Linked DNA regions of Schizosaccharomyces pombe. The protein of the gene in region 3 purifies or fractionates together with the protein of the main gene of each other region. This does not show direct contact. Each region holds a gene or a part of one and is shown on either strand. Other genes may lie near its edges. The genes, in order: lap2, ape2 and nbr1.

Evidence for each region.
Region 1: the proteins of nbr1 (region 3) and lap2 purify together in Schizosaccharomyces pombe (affinity purification with western blotting; one study listed by BioGRID). This does not show direct contact.
Region 2: the proteins of nbr1 (region 3) and ape2 purify together in Schizosaccharomyces pombe (affinity purification with western blotting; one study listed by BioGRID). This does not show direct contact.

What each region holds. Positions count from the first base shown.
Region 1 is NC_003421.2:1,293,304-1,299,818, reverse strand, and holds lap2 (aminopeptidase Lap2), read left to right. Parts: upstream 1-3,690; 5' UTR 3,691-3,904; coding exon 3,905-5,743; 3' UTR 5,744-6,015; downstream 6,016-6,515. Other genes in the region: karyopherin/importin beta family nuclear import signal receptor Kap113, read right to left, coding at 1-728, 779-1,468, 1,525-2,557, 2,635-2,861; fyu1 (UTP-glucose-1-phosphate uridylyltransferase), read right to left, coding at 6,121-6,515.
Region 2 is NC_003423.3:2,411,227-2,418,776, reverse strand, and holds ape2 (aminopeptidase Ape2), read right to left. Parts: upstream 5,800-7,550; 5' UTR 5,271-5,799; coding exon 2,622-5,270; 3' UTR 2,236-2,621; downstream 1-2,235. Other genes in the region: pvg3 (galactosylxylosylprotein 3-beta-galactosyltransferase Pvg1), read left to right, coding at 475-1,611; SPOM_SPBC1921.04C (uncharacterized protein), read left to right, coding at 7,373-7,550.
Region 3 is NC_003423.3:984,262-990,329, reverse strand, and holds nbr1 (protein Nbr1), read left to right. Parts: upstream 1-1,820; 5' UTR 1,821-2,025; intron 2,026-2,328; 5' UTR 2,329-2,492; coding exon 2,493-3,686; 3' UTR 3,687-3,947; downstream 3,948-6,068. Other genes in the region: subfamily NudF ADP-ribose diphosphatase Ysa1, read right to left, coding at 155-772; SHREC complex ATP-dependent chromatin remodeller Mit1, read right to left, coding at 4,006-6,068.

The DNA.
Region 1 (6,515 bases), on a different chromosome or scaffold from region 3:
TCACTCAAAACGCTGAACCATAAATTCATGATAGAATCCAACACTGCCAAAACGTCGGGATGATTTGTTCGCAGCAGAGAGCTGAGGGCGAGTGTGTTCAGTTTTCGATCTTTCGAGTGGTTTATGTGGTCGTTTAATAAAATCCAGTTGCCGATAAGCATAGCTATGTTGATATTTTTCGTTTGACAAACCTTCAATATTAATTCCGGCTCGCGCAATGAGATGCGTGACACCACCAATAAATATTCAATCAACACCTGAGGGTGTTTATCATTTGTTGCAATGGAGAGTAGGAGCCTCGACAGAAGTGAACTGTTCAGCAATGATTCGTAAATCATATCCATCGGAGTAGTTTCAATGAGTAGACATACAGTTTTACATAGTGCTTGCAAAGTTTCGTTTTTTACATCGTCTAATAAGTCGTTCAACTTTTCAAATATGGTAAATGAGTAATCCTTCATCAAAACGGTATTGTCTAAAAGTTGATAACTGCTTACTATCATTAGAACGAATGGAAGGGTAGACGTGGCCTGTGAAAGATGGTACAATAAATGAGGGATAAGTAGGGTAAAAGTTTCTGGCAATTTTTGTATGTACATGAGAAAGGTGCTCCACAATTCCATTGCATCCGCTTCGAAAATAACATGCTCTGGAGATTCCGGATTTACACAATATTCTATTACCGTATATAAAAAAGTTGAAAATTCAAAAGATTTTGCTTTGATCGCCTAGAAATTAGTATAAGAAAACAGTCTGTTGTATATAGCCAAACACTTACATTGACGAATTGGTGCATAACTGCCAAAACTCGTGCTCGCAGCAGCGGTTCCTTTTTCCAACCATCCCATAATTGAGAAAGGAGAGAAGCAATGGTACTTTCCATGGGAGCAACATGTTCTCCGGCCCTTGCCAATAAAGTACCAAGTAAAGACAAGATGGAAGTCCTAGCATCGACTGATTCAAACGCTTTAAACAAAGAAAGAACATGGACAAACAAATTTTCTTTGATAGAAAGAAATGAATTCTCAGAAAAATTCCAATCATCTAAAACGGTTTTGAAAGCATCTATAGTTGTTAAAATGACTACGGCGTCATTGCAAGGATCTGTTAAGTTGAGAAATGAGCAATACAATTTGTAAATAACCTCAAGGAGTTGTTCTGAAGAAGAATCTTCAATCCATTGCGATAAAAAAATGGCAATTCTTCGTCGATACACTCTAGATATCCCAATATCATTAATGGAAGCCATGTTGGGAACTGCGGCTTCCTGTAGCCATTTTGCAAAAGGAAAAATACTCTTCAATTGGGTATATCCAACTCCGAAAGAACTGATCAAAGTGTCTTGTTGAACTGCTTGTGTTAACGTCTTTGGACACTCAAAAACGCTGTAAATCATATCCTTGAACGGCGAAACGATAATATCTCCATATGCATCAAAGAAGCATTTTAAAAGTTTTTCGGCACAAGGCTATATTATCGTTAATGATAAGCTTATCAAAAAACCCATATTCATAATCAACTTACCCTAACGTTAAACTCAACATCCTGGGTCGATTGTTCAAGGACCCATTGTTGTGGGGAATCCGTCCATTCTTCAAAATCTTCTTCTTTTAATATTAGTAGTTTGGTGATGAGTAAATCCAAAAGATTGTTTATACGATTATCTACGAGAAATGAGTTGTAAAGAACTTGAGCCGTTTCGGGGTGCGACGATTTAGTATTGCAGAATTCTTGGATGACAAGGATAAATACTCGTAAGCTCATAATCACAAGTTTTTCAAAATTTTTTGAGCTCTCTTCAAACTTTTCTTTGTATGAAGAAAGATGAGAACTGATTTGACCCAAAAAATCATAGTGCAATGAAATGTAATCAATAGTAGCTGGAAACTTAGTCAAGCATGGACTATAGAAAGAAAAATCAAAGAATGGCTTATTGAATAAGAAAGCATGTGCAAAAGCCATTTCTAAGCACTCCCCAACTACTATCGGAGACCGCGAGGATTGAAGCATTGTACCAAGCATACTCAAAAGTTTTCGCTGATGAACAGCACAAAAAGCTAACATACGCTCACTAAATTCACTTTCACTAGGATTTTGGAAACCAAAAACAACCAACCGTCTACATGCCTTAAGCGTGTATCGAGATATTTGCATATAAGACAACAAAGTAGAATCTTTAATTTCCTTAGAAGATTCAAGTATCATCATCCAGCTTGATAAACTAGAATGTAAAATGGGTTGAAGAATCGTAAGCAATTCTGGAGCAAGTTTGTAAAAAATCTGTCGCGATCTCAAAAGACGATTCCCAGCCATTGCTTTGATAATGTGATGAAGAGTAATTAGTAATCTTAAAGCCACATCGTAATCTCCTGTACCCAATGACTGCTGTAACTTGCCTAAAAGATCGTGAAAAAGAGAAGGCCATTCGGTGGGATAATCCAATCTAGCAATTCGAGAGACGACCAGCGCATTTTGAATAGATAAGAGGTTTTCAGATTTTATAGATCCTAAAAGAGCATTACATCGTATAAAGTCACGTTCTTCTGGAAGTAAAGACCTGCCAAACAATCATACATTAGCAATTACGAAAGTCTAACAGTACAGGTTGATTCTTCGAGACTACTCCTAACTTACATTTTTGTATTTTTCCTCCATATTATATCTATGGAGTTCCGTAGTTGAATGATAGCAATCCATCGTAAACTCATGTCATTTTGTTTATCCAAAAATATACTGTACAGCTTGCCAAAGAAACCTGGTTCCTTTTTCCAGTTGTTTAAATGCCCTTCAGCATCCTTAACAGCAATGGGATCTTGACTTACAGCACGTTGTAGTTGATATACTACAGGATCTACTTGCATTCTCCAAAAAAGTCTGAGACTTGGTTTTTGCTTGAGCAAGGCTGTACCAGTCGCACTCAGTATATGTGAGCCAAAGGAAGGAATTATAGGAAACACTTAGAAAGCGCTTCGATTTCGGAAATGGTGAAATAATTTTCAAATTAAAAACGTTGCGTTCAGTTTTTTTGGTATTTTAGTATCAGAAGATTTTGGGTTTTTTGGTTACCCTTCGGAGGTCGAGCTGCGATTCAAAATTCGAACTTTTAACTCTGTTCGTAATTGAAGAAATAGAAAGATCACAAAGACTAATACTTCTATTATTGCTCATTTTTCTTTCTATAGACAACTAATTCATATTACAATAAATGATAATGTAATATTGCCTTCTTTCTGTTATCTGTTAACAAACGTATCTTATTAAAGAGGGAATGACCAAGATTTGTGGAATTCTCTCTCGTTTATGCCTAAACCTTATGAAATTACAAATAAATGAATAACATTTTTTTACTATTTTATTTAAAATAAACCAAAATCAATAATCGTAACAGTTATTGTATTATTTACATTCCCAAGCTAAGGGACGCTGTCTCTTTTATAATAACTTATCATTGGCAATGATCCTTTCAAACATTCTTGGTAATTTTATGAGCACAAAAATAATAATTATTTACTTTTCAAAGCCCTCTCTCCAAAACTCCTATTCAACAATAAACTGTTTTCTTTTGTGAATTTACAAATTGCGTTGCTCAACGAAAATAAATGTAGTGATACATAATGATATCGATAAAGTAGCATAACGCGCTGCACCCATATCCACACATGTTGCTACTCATCGTATTGCTGTATGATCGCTTTTCCTATTCCTTCCTTTATAAAACTGTGATTAATCTGTTTTAACTATTTTATACTTAATATTTTTATTTACTCAGTAGCATAACTCATATTGCTAAAGCTGAGATCGTTGTACTCGTTGGTTTTATCTAGGCTTCTAATATATTGAGCGTTGTTTTCGTTTAAAGAATTCGTTTGTACATTGTCCTAAATTCCTTCAATTAATTTTAAATATGAAACTTCGTTTGGACCCTTCCACTCAATCTAATTATCATGATGTCTCAATCAGTAAGCTCGATTGGCACGCTCGAATTGACTTTGACCAAGAGCTGCTCCATGGTAAAGTATCCTTTGTGATTCAATCTGCTAGGGTGTCCCAAGCCCTGTCCCATATTATCCTTGACACTTCTTACCTCGAAATCAAGAATGTAACGATTAATGACATCCCTACTCCTTTCCGTGTTGATAAGCGGCGCGGATTTTTGGGTTCAGCTTTGCATATCGTTCCCGCTGATGAAATCCCTTCCTCAAAATCCTGTATACTTACAATCTTATATTCCACTACTAAGGATTGTACAGCACTTCAGTTTTTGAAGCCTGAACAAACGATAGGTGGTAAATTTCCTTATGTTTTTTCGGAATGTCAAGCCATTCATGCACGTTCATTCATTCCCTGTCAAGATACTCCTTCTGTTAAAGTTCCGTGTACTTTTAAGATCCGGTCCAAACTTCCCGTAATCGCATCGGGTATCCCATGTGGAACAGCTAATTTCTGCAATGGCTCTTTGGAATACCTGTTTGAGCAAAAAAATCCAATCCCTAGTTATTTATTTTGCATTCTCAGTGGTGATTTGGCCTCCACAAATATAGGTCCACGTTCTTCTGTATACACAGAGCCTGGCAACTTGTTAGCTTGCAAATACGAATTTGAACATGACATGGAAAACTTTATGGAAGCCGCCGAGCAACTAACACTTCCTTATTGCTGGACACGGTATGATTTTGTCATCCTTCCGCCTTCCTTCCCATACGGAGGTATGGAGAACCCTAATGCTACGTTTGCTACGCCGACACTTATTGCCGGAGATCGCTCCAATGTTAACGTTATTGCTCATGAATTAGCCCATTCTTGGAGCGGTAATTTAGTTACTAATGAGTCATGGCAATGCTTTTGGTTGAATGAAGGTATGACTGTTTTCTTGGAACGCAAAATTTTAGGCCGTCTTTATGGTGAGCCGACTCGCCAATTTGAAGCCATTATTGGCTGGGGTGAATTAGAAGAATCGGTTAAATTGTTGGGTGAAGATAGTGAGTATACGAAGTTGATTCAAAACCTCGAAGGAAGGGATCCCGATGATGCCTTTTCCACTGTTCCTTACGAAAAGGGCTCCAATTTCCTCTATGAAATAGAGAGGGTTATTGGTGGTCCTTCTGTTTTTGAACCATTCCTTCCCTTTTACTTTAGGAAATTTGCAAAGTCTACCGTAAACGAAGTCAAATTCAAGCATGCACTGTATGAATACTTCTCACCTCTTGGGCTTGCATCTAAGTTGGACTCGATTGATTGGGATACTTGGTACCATGCTCCTGGTATGCCTCCGGTTAAACCACATTTTGATACAACGCTTGCAGATCCTTGCTACAAGCTTGCAGAAAGCTGGACTAATTCTGCTAAAAATTCTGATGATCCCTCCAAGTTTAGCAGCAAAGATATTGAAAATTGGTCAGCGGGCCAGAAATCTTTGTTTTTGGATGTTGTTTATGAAGCTGTCTCTTTTCCTCACAATTATATTAAAAGAATGGGTGATGTTTACTCGTTTGCCGAATCGAAAAATGCAGAGTTATCTTTCCGGTTTTTTAAACTCGCATTGAAGAGTAAATATAAGCCATTATACAACACTATTGCAGAACGTGTTGGCAGCGTTGGCCGTATGAAGTTTGTTCGCCCAATTTTCAGACTGTTGAATGAGGCAGATCGTGCTTTTGCAATTGAAACGTTTGAAAAGTATAAGCATTTCTATCATAAAATTTGTGCTTCTCAAGTTGAAAAGGACTTAGGCTTATCTGAATAGAATTCATAAATGCTGCTTGCCTACTAACAAAAGAATACATCTACATGGAGCCTTTTTCTCGCCTTAGCTTTTTGATGATAGATGTAGATATTATGATATAAATATATATTATTTTTTTTTTGACCTAGCAAACAATAAAAAGAAGAAATCATATATTAGGAAGAGAAAACCAAAGTCGTTTCACAATACTAAGATTTACAACATCTCAACCAAAATTTTTATGATCAACTACGACTTATGTATCTAATGCAAATTTTTTAACATGAATGCAATCTGATCTCGTCAACACATTTCTGTATATAAAAAGAACATTGTGGTTTCCATAAAGTGCTATTCTAATGCATGTAATGAAAAAGTCATGAAAAAAGAGCGACGATTTAGTGCTCCAAGATATTGAGATTACCGGTAATGACACAGTTCTCAAGGACAGAACCATTAGGAATGTCAATACGGTTGGCATCACTAGCGACAATAATCACGGTACCCTTAAGAGTAACATTGCGACCAATATTAACGTCACCAGTAATGGTCAGATGATCAAGTTCAAGGATTTTTGGAATGCTGGGAATGTGAGCAGAGAAATCAGCAACTTTCTTGAAGTGTGCGCCTAATTTGACTAAAGGAGCGGTACCTCCGAATCGGCGAGGATTCATCTCAACCTGACCATGGTTGATGGAATAGAGGTCAGACTTGACGAGAAGTAAGTCAGAGCAGGTTTTGACGGGTAAGAAACGTCTTCTAGGGACGTTAACACCGTGGGCGTTCTTAAAAT
Region 2 (7,550 bases), 1.4 Mb from region 3:
ATAGAGGAAACTGAATACTAAAACTAAGTTCATTTAACGAGTATCTCCTATTAAATTATTCATAAAAATAAACAAAATAGAAAAATTGTATATGTATGAATCCTTTGGTTAATGGACTCTGAGATAAAGAAATGTAGCAACCCGGTATATATAGTTAACGCATTTATAGTTACCAACGCTATGAGGGCATTAAGGGTTTGAGTAGCTGCTCTTCTGGTTACATTATGACTGCGTATTTATGGTGGACGTGAATATGGCACCAAGCACAGCTTTGTTTTCAGAACCAAACATTATACTCCTTTCAGAGTTATATTCTGTTTGCTGGCTCATATATTCAAGGAGTCTTTTGTTTAATTCTCAACGATCTTTAAGTTTGGTTTTATTTTATTCTTTTATTCAAAGGGACAATTAATATTCACGTCTCTCTAATTGACCTCCTGGCGCAACGTGCTCGTTTAATTAAACTCTTTCACTATGTTTTCAAATTCTAAAAAAAAAATTTTTCTTTACGTGCTAATTGCCGGTGTTGCTACTTTTTCCTTTGCTTTTCTTGTACTAAATCGTCTACAGGCCGAAGAACATTCACTCGCCTACGTAGAGAATTTGTTTTTAGATCCCTTCATTAAGCAAAATGAATCGCTTGCCCATGCGAACGACAGACCTTTCAAACTGTATTTGGGGATTTTTAGTCAAGCTAAGAACGTGGATAGGCGTAACTTTTTACGTACCGACTATAATGAATATATTAAGGAGTTTGCCGTAAATGATACTGTGGATGTTAGATTTATCCTTGGTTTACCTGAGAATGAGCAGGAATTAGCTACCATTCGCGAAGAGCAGCGAACGTATGGTGACTTAGCAGTACTACCTATTCCGGAGAATGTGGATGCTGGAAAGTCCATTGTATACTTCCAAACATTTTTAGAGGGCTACCAGCCGTTTCCTCTTTTTTCTGAACTTGCAGATAATCTTATAATGCCCAGCACTCAGTTTCATGGTAGTTTTATATATAATCAAAGTATTAAGACATATGAGTTGCCTGGTATGAAGGAATTCCAAGATCTCGGCGAGCCAAAGCATGACTACGATTTTATTGTTAAAGCCGATGACGATTCTTTCTTGAATTTACCCCGTCTGTTTGAAATGTTGAAAGAGCACGTTGGGAAAAGCCGCTTTTATTTTGGAAGGGATTGCACACGAAGAGAATTACCTACCGCTGTTCGTGACTTCCCGTACATGTGCGGGTTCTTCTATATAGTATCTCCTGATATGGCTTATGAGGTGGCTAAACGCCGTAATATTATTATTCCGTTTGAAGATGCTCAGACCGGCTATAGCATTTACCTTTCCGGTAATGTAAAAAATGCGGAATTCTCTAAATGCACATTGTATGATTTGATTTTACCCAACGAAGGTTTTAATTATCGTCAAAGCTATTTACGCATTGACGCCATTGCCGTCCATAAGCTTAAAAGCATCCCTCTCTTGTCGACGGTAAGCAATTGGTTTAAAAAAATGTATGAACATCGTGCCAATTGCAGTGCCTTGATAGAAACTGAACGACTTTCGTGTCTTCAGGCAACAATTCCTTTACCTTCTTTGGACGTTTAATCGTTTCTCCTCTATCGTTATTCTTTGCATATGCATTATTCTTCGTTTATGTTTCATTTATTTGATCCGTGCGTAACGTAACGTTTACACATGTTTCATATCTACTAATGCTTCGTTCTTTATAATCTTTTCTCAATTTGTTTTAACCGCCATCTATTGTTAACATAGTTCTTTCTACGTTCTAATTTTTTTTAATTTATGCATTTTTAAACCAGCTAGAGATTTTTTGAGTCACTAAAAATATAAGTATAATCGATGCTCATCTATCTGCAACAAACACATTAAGTCTTTTCAAGTAAATGTAGATACAATCAAAATATTCCTTGAAATCGGCTAAATTTCTCCTTAAATTTCGTTATTTCAAACCAGCGATATGACAGTACCAGCTCCGAGTCGTTAAGGTAGTCACAACCCTACCCTATTAAAAAATGTAATTTACTATATAAACAAGTGCGCTTGCTACATTATTCTTTAATCAAAAAGTTAAGGGGTCAGCCACGGTGGTTATGTGAATTAGTACGTATGCTACTGCCAGAGTCTTTTTAGACTTTGCGACCTCGAGATCAAAACTCGTTGATAAAGAACCTTACTCTTATGTCCTATTAATTTAGGCGATTGGCGTAAGGGCCGACGATACGAGAAATTTATTATATTAGCGTTTTATTATATGATTGAAATTAAAGTTACATTAGTTCCAGTTAATATTCAGTAATTCACCTTCGTTTTGCACACCTTTAGTTGATGTCGGTGTATACTGAAAATAGTAAAGTGCCAGTGTGGAGTAAACAACATACTGTTATAACATAAATTTATAAAACTTTAAATGTATTTTACGTCAGTTTCAAAAATCAAAATTTCATAGATGTATGCAATCTAAGTAAAGGCGTCGTCCATCAGTATATACATAACTTGCAGTAGTCATCGTTCATAAAAACATGGTGATCAACTTGACAGTTTCAAATGCCACAATTTAAGCATTCACCACATACCGTTTCTAAATATGCAAAGACTTACATATAACGATTCTCCTTAAGCCAGCGAGTGATATCATCCAGTGATTTGTCGATGAAACTTGAATTAGCAGAAATAGTGTCCAAAGATTGTTGAAGTGCACGTTCATACAACTTCGTATCTTTATCGGCAAAAAATTCCTTAATTTTATCAATAGCGGAGGCATGAGTGAATCCACTTGTTACGAATCTCACAACGTAGCCACGCATTGTACCAGCAACAGGAAGTCTTGAAAGCAACTTATCCCAGTTAGAAGTAGCAAACTTCCACATTGCCAAAACACCGTTTTTGTGAGTACTCAATGTAACCAAAATAAGATAAATATCTTGTTCCTTGACAATAGGGTCAAGGGTTAAATCCAAAGTTTTTTGAATATACTTTTCATCTTCAGTAACACCAAAGGCTCTCAAACAACTATTACGGACATAAGGATCATTAGTTTTAGTATAAATTTCAAGAAGTTGATCCCACGACTTAGCACCACCATAACGAATTGCAATGTTAAATACGGCGGATCTCAAATTATCATTAATGGCGGACTTATTACCAGACGCGTAAGCATCAAACTTGGAAAGTGCATCCTTAACCACCTTATCATCACCAAACAAACCGGCATAATTGTATACTGTACTCTTAAATTGGCGAATGATATGATCGTCATTTGCCTTGAATTCCCAGCCGAGTGAATGGGCTTTAGTAGCAGAAACCTCCAGAACTAACTTTTTCATTGCAGCAATGATATCAGAACTTTCGAAACGTAAAGTGGACTTTATACCATTCAAGCGGGCAAGCATCTCAGCAAAGACTACAAAGTTAGGCTCGTCTTTCCAAGTTTTGATAAGATCTAAAGTGCTGCTAACTTTACCGTAGCCAGCTCTCGAGAGAGAAGCGACGTCGGCAATTAAACCAGCACGATCCTCGACACTAAGATAATCTGGCTTTTCAACCGCAATTTGAGATAACTTCTTTAAATGATCGGCAGAATAGTTAACACGGTAGATACCAGATTGTTCAGAGTTTAGCTTATAAGATTCGAGAGCCTCTTTATCAACTTTAATTTTCTTGGATCGGTCTGAAAGCACAGCTTTTTCATCAACAACTGCTTTACCATCCTTCATCGTTTTAAGTTTTAAGGGGGCCCAATAAATTACAGTATCTTCTTCGGGTTTAACGTCTCCTGTTGACAAAAATCGATGTTGCTCAATTAAAAGCTCTCCATCATTGGTTTCAGAAACGGATAGCACGGGATAACCTGTCTTCTTAGTCCAATTGTGCATAGTGGAAGAGATGTCCTGACCTGATTCTGCCGACAAGGCAGCCCATAAGTCTTCCGTAACTGTGTTACCATAACGGTGCTTAGAAATGTATTTTTGAATACCCTTAATAAACGTATCTTCGCCAACATACTTGCTAACCATGCGGATAACACAAGAACCTTTAGAGTAAGAGATAGCGTCAAATATTTGGTTAATTTCGTAATCGTGCATAATGGGAACTTCAATAGGATGACTGGAACGAAGTGCATCCAACGAAAGAGCAGATTGAAGGTTGTCTGTAACATAAGATTCCCAAACCTTCCATTCAGGGTAAAAATGGTTACAGCTAAACCATGACATCCAGGTAGCGAAACCCTCATTAAGCCATAAGCCGTCCCAAAATTGCATGGTAACAAGATTACCAAACCACTGATGGGCTAATTCGTGTTGTACAACTTCGGCTACACGTTCAATTACAGTAGCAGCGGAATCCTCAGAAACCAAGATGGCAGCAAGTCTGTAGGTAACTAAACCCCAATTTTCCATAGCACCTGCTTCAAAATCAGGAATAGCAACCATATCGCATTTGGGTAAAGGATATGGCTCGCCAAATACACCAGAGAAGAAGTCTAAGGTCTTAGCACCTAATTCCGCAGCAAATTTACCCTGTTCGGAAAACCCAGGTGTAGTATAAACACGAACAGGAAGACGGGGGCAATGCTTGCCAGGGGTGAAATACTCAACGTATTCGAGTTCGGCAACAATCCAAGCCAAAAGGTAAGTGGACATTCGGCAAGTTTCGGCAAAACGGGCAGTTTTCAAACCATCCTTGACAGTTTCCTCAACGGCATTCATGTTACTAAGGATAGTATAGTTTTCCTTAGCAGTGATATCGATGGTAAAGGTAGCTTTCAAAGCAGGTTCATCCCAGCAGGGGAAAGCACGACGAGCACTAGTAGGCTCCATCTGGGTCGTGGCAAGATACTTGGTATTACCATCGCTGTCAACGTAACTAGAGCGGTAGAAACCCTCCATGCCACTGGAAATACGGGCAGTGAAAGGCAACGTCAAAACAGCAACAGAGTTGGCTGGGACAGTGGAGGGAAATTGAAGAACGATACGCTCATCCCCATAAGAGACTTCGCTGGCCCAGACGGTTTGGCTGCCCCATTCTAACGCAGCCGTCAAAATACGAAGGTTAATGCCATGTAGAGTAATACTGTTGCTGTCCTCAAGTACATCCAAGGTAACGACGACTTTACCGCCGTAAGTGAACGTCTCCAAATCTGGATATAAACTCAAATCATAGTGGATGGGTTTAACATTTTTTGGAAGCAAATTCCGATTTTTATCGTCTTCCTTAGAAGTAGATTTAGGAATGGTGACTTGCATTTTTACAAAAGAAAAATAACGCTGAAAATCAATACAGCTAAACTAGCCAGAGCAATAATGAAGCTGAATAGAGCAAATGTGATACGATAGTGGGAAAGGTGAAGGAAGAATTTGCCAACTAATTAAATAATGGTACAAAAACCGTAGGAAGATGGAATTACGAACGATGAGTCAGTTAGTTAGAAAAAGTATCGATACGAACAAACAAACAGCCGATAACGATCGATAGAGTAATTCAACAGACTCCTTAATTAATCTTAAAAAACCTAACGTTAATTTTAAATTTTAATAGTCAAAGAAATGTAGATGTCGTTTTCCACGCTGTGGAAATGAGAACGATGGGAAACGGGATGGAACAGATGATAATTTGTCCAACAACGCTGAAAAGCACACGATTACACACTTAAACGTAATGATATTTTCCAAGCAACAAACGAAAAACGTAAAGACACTAAACGACGAAAAGATGTAATAGGTCTAAGCTGCCAATGAAGATGGTTAAGTAGGTAGTTGGTGTAAGTAGAAGGTTGGTGAAAGCACTATGTGTGTGTGCCCAGGATATATAAGCGTCTGATGGAGTAAGCATAGTTTCTTCACGTAACATAAGTATCATAAACAACTTATTTTAAAGTAACAACAACAAATGATAAACCCCAATGTCGTAACCGACTCGAAATCCCATATCCAAGGTGATTTTAGGGAGTATAAACGAGCTCTCCTTAAAACAAAAACAGAAGCAACTAGTTAGATATTGATTGATGCTATGAATTCTGCTGCTTTTTTAAGATAAAAAATATTAAATGTAAAACAAGAAGAAACACATCTTGTAGCTTGACAGTTGAGAGAAAACATTTCAAAATCCCCCGAATGTGCTAATGTTGGTGACTTTATCACTCAGTGGAAGATGAGATAGTTAAAGAAACCGGAGCTTTTCGATGTTTAGAATAAAACCACGCAAAAATATATTACCGTTTTGTGCAGAAAAAACTACATCACTTTTCTTGGTTCCGAAGCGCTAAAATTACCGTCGATAAATAGAATAGACAATTCAAGGCAAGACTTGTAACAAGAAAAAAAAGATTTATCCCTCACATAGCAAGGCGTTTTTATTAGGCTTAGAATATTTGGTCTTCAAAAACAGTAAAGCTCGTCCAAGCCAAAAATACTTGGTCTCATCGGTGGTAACGATTGTTTGATTCTATTTACAAACTGCCTTTCTTTCTAAGATTGCTGCGGAGCTTTTCTACTTTGCCTAAGAAAAATGAAATCGGCAGTGCATGTCTTATGACAAAAAAATTTTTGCCCAAGAATATAATTACTTACTGCTCGACTCGCTTATTGTCAATCCTCCTTTAATACCAAAGTCTATTTCTACATATTTGGTAGCACGATCATAGAATTTACGCCAAACGAACGTAAATTTCAATTCCAATCTAATAAATCGTTTGTATGTCACTTAATCGCTCTCATCGTTTCTTCATTCCCGACATCATATTTTTTAATACTTACCGTAACAAAATAAACAAGGGTAAAATTGTCTGGAAACAAAATTACAATACAATTTTGATAATTGACTTTCTTTTGCAATGTGCCGTATACCTCCTTTTATAAGATAAGATCCTCGGATATTGCAGAGAAACACCAACGACTCCTACGATTATAGGATCCTTCCGCACCATTTTAGTGCCCCAGTGTGGGAACTTAATAGATACAACAGAGATAACGATAAGGTGAACAAATATGAAATGCATCTAAACGTTAAACGACATACAGCATGTGCATTGTTAATACCCGTGGAGAAGACAGAGCAAAGAACACTAGGATTTTTTCTTTTATCCACGGCACAATCAACTATGATATTTCACATTACAGCCATAATAGTGACAAAATAGAAATGAACGTAGCTTGTTAAACCCATTGAGTATCCTGTCCGACAAACAAGCTGTCCCTATAACACTAAAAAATGGAAGAAATTTCGATAATTCAAAATTAAGTAAACAGCAGGTTTTTAAAACCCACGAATACAACCAAAATTTACACAAGACAGACAAATACAACCAACACATAACATGAATAATATTAAAATGAATTAAAAAACATTAATGAGTCATACAAAAAATTTAAAACTTATACTACAAAGCAAAAAGCTATCTGAACTACCGACCCACAGAAAAAGTATCAATATGACTATTCCTGTAAGGGCACTAAGATGTCCAATATGGCTCTGGCCCACGTATGACGCTCAAACCATTCCATGGAAAAAGAAAAAGAAAAGTGAGC
Region 3 (6,068 bases):
TATGGGGAACACGGTAACGGGAATTATTGGATAGACATATATATTATTTTTAATAAAGTTTGACTAAAACAAAGGAAAGTTATAGCATAAAAAGTCCATTAGCAACATTTAATAGTAAACGGTCGTAATTCAGTGAATAGCAAAAGGTGCATAGCTAAGACGACAAGTATTTAAGACCAGCATGTAATCCTAGTGCAAATGTGGAGAGACGAACATCAATGGCAAATCCCTTCTTCTCTAAAGAAAATAATTCCTCTTGTAAAGAAGAAAGCTTGATTGGAAAGTTCTCAATGTATTCGCCATCGTCAAGTTGTTGTTGAGGATTTTGGTTTTCAGGCTTCGACATGTCAATGTCAGCCAGTATAATCTTAAGATTAGCATTCGTAAGACCCGGATCATTGTACATGACAGTGGTGGAGTCCATAACAGTACCAACGTAGCCAGTCTCTTCACGAAGCTCTCGAATCGCAGCATCTTCACAAGACTCCTTAGAATCAACTAAACCTGCTGGAATTTCAATACAAAACTTGCCAATAGGAGGACGAAATTGCTTTTGGCACAACACATGAGGACTTCCGTCGATAGGAACAATGGCTAAGATGGCTACGGCATCCACATTGGCTTCTGAACGTGTCGTACGTTCAGCCATTTCCCAAAACCTGATTTTTCCTTTTTCGTCTTGCCAACGGATTTTCTTTAAGGATGTCCACTTGGCATCCTGATTCTCAAGGTTGGACACTTCCAAAACTTTAGGTTTTTGATCTTGGCTCATTTTATCAATACAGGTGCTCAAACCTTTGACAGTGTATGAAGGGTGTTGGAATGAAGTTGCTGATATTTGAAAAGAGAAGGTGGAAATAGCGATGTGAGAATATGAGCTAATCAATTTCGGAGGATGCTGGTGTCTACCAACGTTAAGTAAATATCGGGTTAGAAATGAAGTTGCATTTATACCTAATGTTCTTGTACTTTTAATAATATGCTGGAAAAAATTTCGGTGCATGAGTGACTTAAAATCCAACTGAAATATTGCTTACTTTTTTCCCGTTAATGCGTAAACGTGCGATTAGTATGACAATGTAAGTATGATGTTAATTTGTTTTGACGTATATTTACAAATTTCATTAATGTAAATATTAACAATCAGCAAAAAACCAAAATTATTATTTGAGCAAAATCATAACGCGGAGTATACCATTAATTATTAACTTAGCTATAAACTGGTCGTTTATCACCTTCTCTAGTGTCTTTTCATTTGCAATTGATTTTACAAACGGATCATCAAAAGATACCGTGACCGGTTTTAGCCAATATAATGGAGTTTTTCCTACCCTTTTCTATTATTGTAGTAAAAGATTTTACGCTGTAAGAGAAATTGCATTTATTTACGTTTTCAGTTCATAATCGCTTATTGATATTAGAATAGCGTCAACTTATGATTTAAGAATATATAATATTAATACTTTATCGACTCACATCTCATTTAAATTACATTTATGCCATAACCCATATCTAGTTTAATGTCTAAGCCGATTTCTAAGTACATTTTAGGGCTTAAGTTAAGTAGTTTCCAATTTAACTAAATCAATTTCTTTTTCAAGTTTGCTACATCAACAAAATTTTTCATATATTCATTTTTAGGGCCATGCGTTGAAGTACCAACCTCTTGTAGATAAATTCGCTAAGTTACTGTTTATGCTGTGCACGCTTCTAAACGCTACCACTTTTTAGCGACGCTTAACTTATCTATTATCAGTACGATATGCTCATCCCCCATATACGTGTGATAAGCTTACACCTCGACCTCGTTCATTTACATTACCATCAACTTCTACTAGCGAATTTGTCCTGCTCACTTCACCCGTTGAATACATCCCATTTAGAATTAATAGCTTGATTTCATAACCAATTAGGAACCCGTCATTATAGTTGCAATTCCAACGCTCCTTACATTTCGTTTGCACTGTATCTCTACACATCCGCTTCAATTATTTGTTTTGTCTTTATTTCCTGTTCCGTCTATAGGTAAGATAATTTACTTGCACAAAGTCTTAAGTTCAATGTTTGTACAACAAATTACAAAAAGGATTGAAGGACTAAAGTGGTTGATGGAACTTTAATAATAACATCTTCGATAAATATTTACGAGAACGTAAAAATCCTTGTCTTGATAAAGATTGTTTTTTCTATTGCCTTTACTCTGAAATTGCTAGCACTGTTGCTCACTTCGGCGTCACATATTTCCTCAATTTCAAAATTCATATGAACTATTAAATTTTACTTTGCAACTAATTTCATTAGTTAATATCGTTACTAATTTTGCTTTAGCTTATTTCGAAAGAGCTTTTTACCTACAATTAAGACCTTCTCTTACCTAAGAACTCGAGTTACTTCTTGACTGCTTACGCGATTTTTTTCTTTTTTTTGCTTTCTTTAACGCTCTCTTTTATCATTAAATTTTATTTTATTTTATTCACGTTTTTGATCCCGAAATGCTTTGCAATCGTACATGTCCCTCTTCTGATTGTGGGATTCTTTGCAACCATAGTGTTCCTTCCTTCCCTCCTTTTCATTCCTCAGTCGCTAATATCCACTTCACTAAGGAGAATAATTTAAAGTCAAACATTTTTGAGCACAATAATAATTCGCCTACTTTAAGGTCTTCTTCTGTTGCTTGTAACACTTGCCTCAAGATAATTCGGAATGACTCATTTCATTGCACAAAGTGTTTCGATTTCGATGTTTGTAGAGACTGCTATGCGAAACAGGCATTCCTCCATCCTTGCCCAAAACCCCATTTCGTACTTGTTCGCTCTTCAATCCCTTCAGTTGCTTCCTTAACCTGCAGCGTAAATTCTATGTCAGTTTCTCCCCAATCTAATTTTATGTACGCCATTTGTGACCATTGTGAGCAACCTATACATAATGTGCGTTACAAGTGTAGTGTTTGTGATGACTACGACATTTGTGAGTCTTGCCTTACCGACAATAGTCATTCAAACACGCATGCTTTCGTTCGAATTACTAAAGCTTATCCTCATGGTCTTCCTTCATTTCATTTGTTCCCTCAGTTCCTATCAGCCGAATTGTTTGAGTCTGCCTCAACAGTACATCGATCGGTTCAATGTGACAACTGTCTTGCTCATCCAATAGTTGGACCAAGATTTCATTGTCTGGTTTGTGAAGACTATGATCTTTGCTCCTCATGTGTATCTCATGTGCATCATGATCATCATTCAATGCTCCGTTTAACTCGCGAAATATCTGCTTCACCTTTACATTTATCTAAACCTGAAAAACCTAAGGTTCTTAATTTCGACTTCAAGTTAGTTGAGGACTCCATTCTCCCCTTAGAATTAAGCCCTGGCTGCCCGTTTTATAAAATATGGCATATAAGGAATACTTCTTGTCAATCGTGGCCTTCTCCGTTGTATGTCAAGTTTAATGGTGGAGACAAACTTTTTCCAGGAGACAATCCATATTCGTTTCCTATCACTTCTTCCGTTCATCCTGGTGAGGATGTTAATTTTACAGTTGCTTTGAAGGTTCCTGAAAAAAGTAACAAAGAGATTTTTACCGCATTTTTTAATATCTGCTCCGATGATGGTAGCGTTTTTCACAAAAGTCTTTGCGCCTTCCTTCGTGTACCGAAGTCTTTTAGCAGAATTAGTAAGTCGTCTTTTTGAAACCATTCGTAACGCTTTTTATGTCCTGTAGAAGTTTAGTGTGGAAGACAACGATAACGAAACTGATTTCAGTTTTATATTTCTTTCTTTTGTCCACTTGTCTGGCGGTTGTTCGTATATAACCGCCGGTTTTAAGTTCATGATTTGCTTCAGAGTTGAATCACTTGTTACCATATTTGATCCTACCTTGTTATAATGATCTTGATGGAAATGCTATATATGTTTAAAATTTATATTAAAAATTATATATTAACGAATAAAATGCAGGATACATATGAATATGCCAGATTAAATAATAGTATACATTGATGATAAAACTCTAAAGAGTTTTTGCTTCATTAATTATGGATTCCTTTATGATTACTTTCGATGAAAGTTCATTAGTTTTGGCACTGCTTGATACAGTAGGTTCCTCCTTTTTTTGTAGAAACGAGTTTAATCTAGCCATAGCTTGTTTTTTGATGTGAAATGGTTCTCGTGATTTGCTAAGCGAATCTTTTAGTCTATAAATCGCTTCCTTATTTCGTAACATAGGGCACGTGTCCCTTCCACTAAAGTGAGGTGTTCCACATAAAAAGCATATTTCTAATGGCACAATGCTTAATGGACAATGTGCTGGTAAATGTTTAATACCACAACATCGACAACGTACATTATCAGACAAAGAAGACAGTAGAAAAAAGTTGTCAAGAACTGCTTTAGACAAAGATCTTCCAACCAGTTGATGATTTTTTTCAATTATTTCGTAAGGTGGGTAAAAAACTGGATCGTCTATCAGTTGCATTTCCGAATCATTAATATACTCTGAAGAAGTTAATTTGTTAGCCACCTCTAAATTGATGGTGGATAGAGTTTTGTTAAATTCATCTTCTTTGGGAGTTGTTGCTAATAGAGATTTAGCTAAGATAGAGTCAAAATGAACATCTGCAGACTTTTGAGAATCAGATTCATCATTTAAGTTTTCGATATTTACGCTCGAATCATATTTGAGTTTTTGCTTATCAGATAAAGTATCTGTTATCGAACTGATTGTCTCAGTTTCTATGGGAAATGGGGAGCCTGGTGATGATCGATCATTAACGGTATAATCAGTATCGTCGCTATTATCATAAATATTTAAATCTTCGCCATAATGGATTTTGTGGTGTGCACGAAGTCTCCTGTTGGAAGTTGTTTCGTCTGTTTTTTCTAGCATTGCATCCTTCTCTCGTTGCTTAAGTATTACTGACCAGACATCTTCTTCATCAACAAGAACATTTTCTTTGACTTCATAATGATTGGAAGATATATGTTTGTTATCCCAAACACGAAAAAAGCCAAACTTATTGCTTTTTATATCTGATTCATCAGTTGAAGTATCTTCTTGTTTCTCAGCTTCTGAGATAAGTAATTCTACCGAATATTCATTATACTTAATAGACGGTTCATCACCAGCCTCTTCAAATAATGCACGAGCCCCATGCCGCAAGATACTTTCTAAATCTTTTTCTGAATTATGATTTTGATCCAATGACTCAACAATTAAGTGGTCCAATACAAGCTTCTTTTGAGCGTTTTGAATGATTTTTTCCTCTACAGAATCTCGAGTAGTTAACACAAAGACAAGTACCTTTTTTTTTTGCCCATATCGATGAGCCCTTGCAATCGCTTGCATGTCTTGATGAGGATTGAAATCAGGATCTAGTATAATAACAGTGTCCGCACTAGCTAAATTGATGCCAACTCCACCAGCACGGGTAGAAAGTAAGAAACATGACAACTCAGAATTAGGAGCATTAAAAGAGTCGATTGCTGACTGCCTTTCCATTTCCGATGAGGCGCCATCAAAACGTGCATAGGCTATGTTTTTATATTCAAACCAATCTTCAAGGATATCGAGTTGCTGGATAAATTGAGAAAACAATAATATACGATGCCCGCGAGTTATCAATTTCGGTACCAATAAGCGTAATATTAAAAACTTACAGCTGGCTTCTTCCAGTGAACGCATAGCAAGTTCATACGGGAGATTACGGTCTTCAATATCTGGTGAATAAATGTACGGATGAGCTAATGTTTTTCGAAGTTGCATCAAAATGTTGTTCAATGAAGTAGTCCTTTGCCCTCCAGAAGAACTGGTATTAGCATAGCCGGTAATATTACGTAGCAAAGACAAATTTTTTGAAAGAATCGATTTGTATAAACCTTTTTGAACAGGTGTCATGGACAAAGGAATAATTACTTCAACCTTCGTAGGAAAGTTATCCAGTACTTCGCTTTTCACTCTTCTTAAAAAAAACGGCTTTAAGATTTGATGAAGTTCAGTCACCTTTTCCGTATCAATAATGCTGTATCTTTTTTCAAGCTCAGCAGCATTTATTTTCATGGGATTTAAAAACTGCA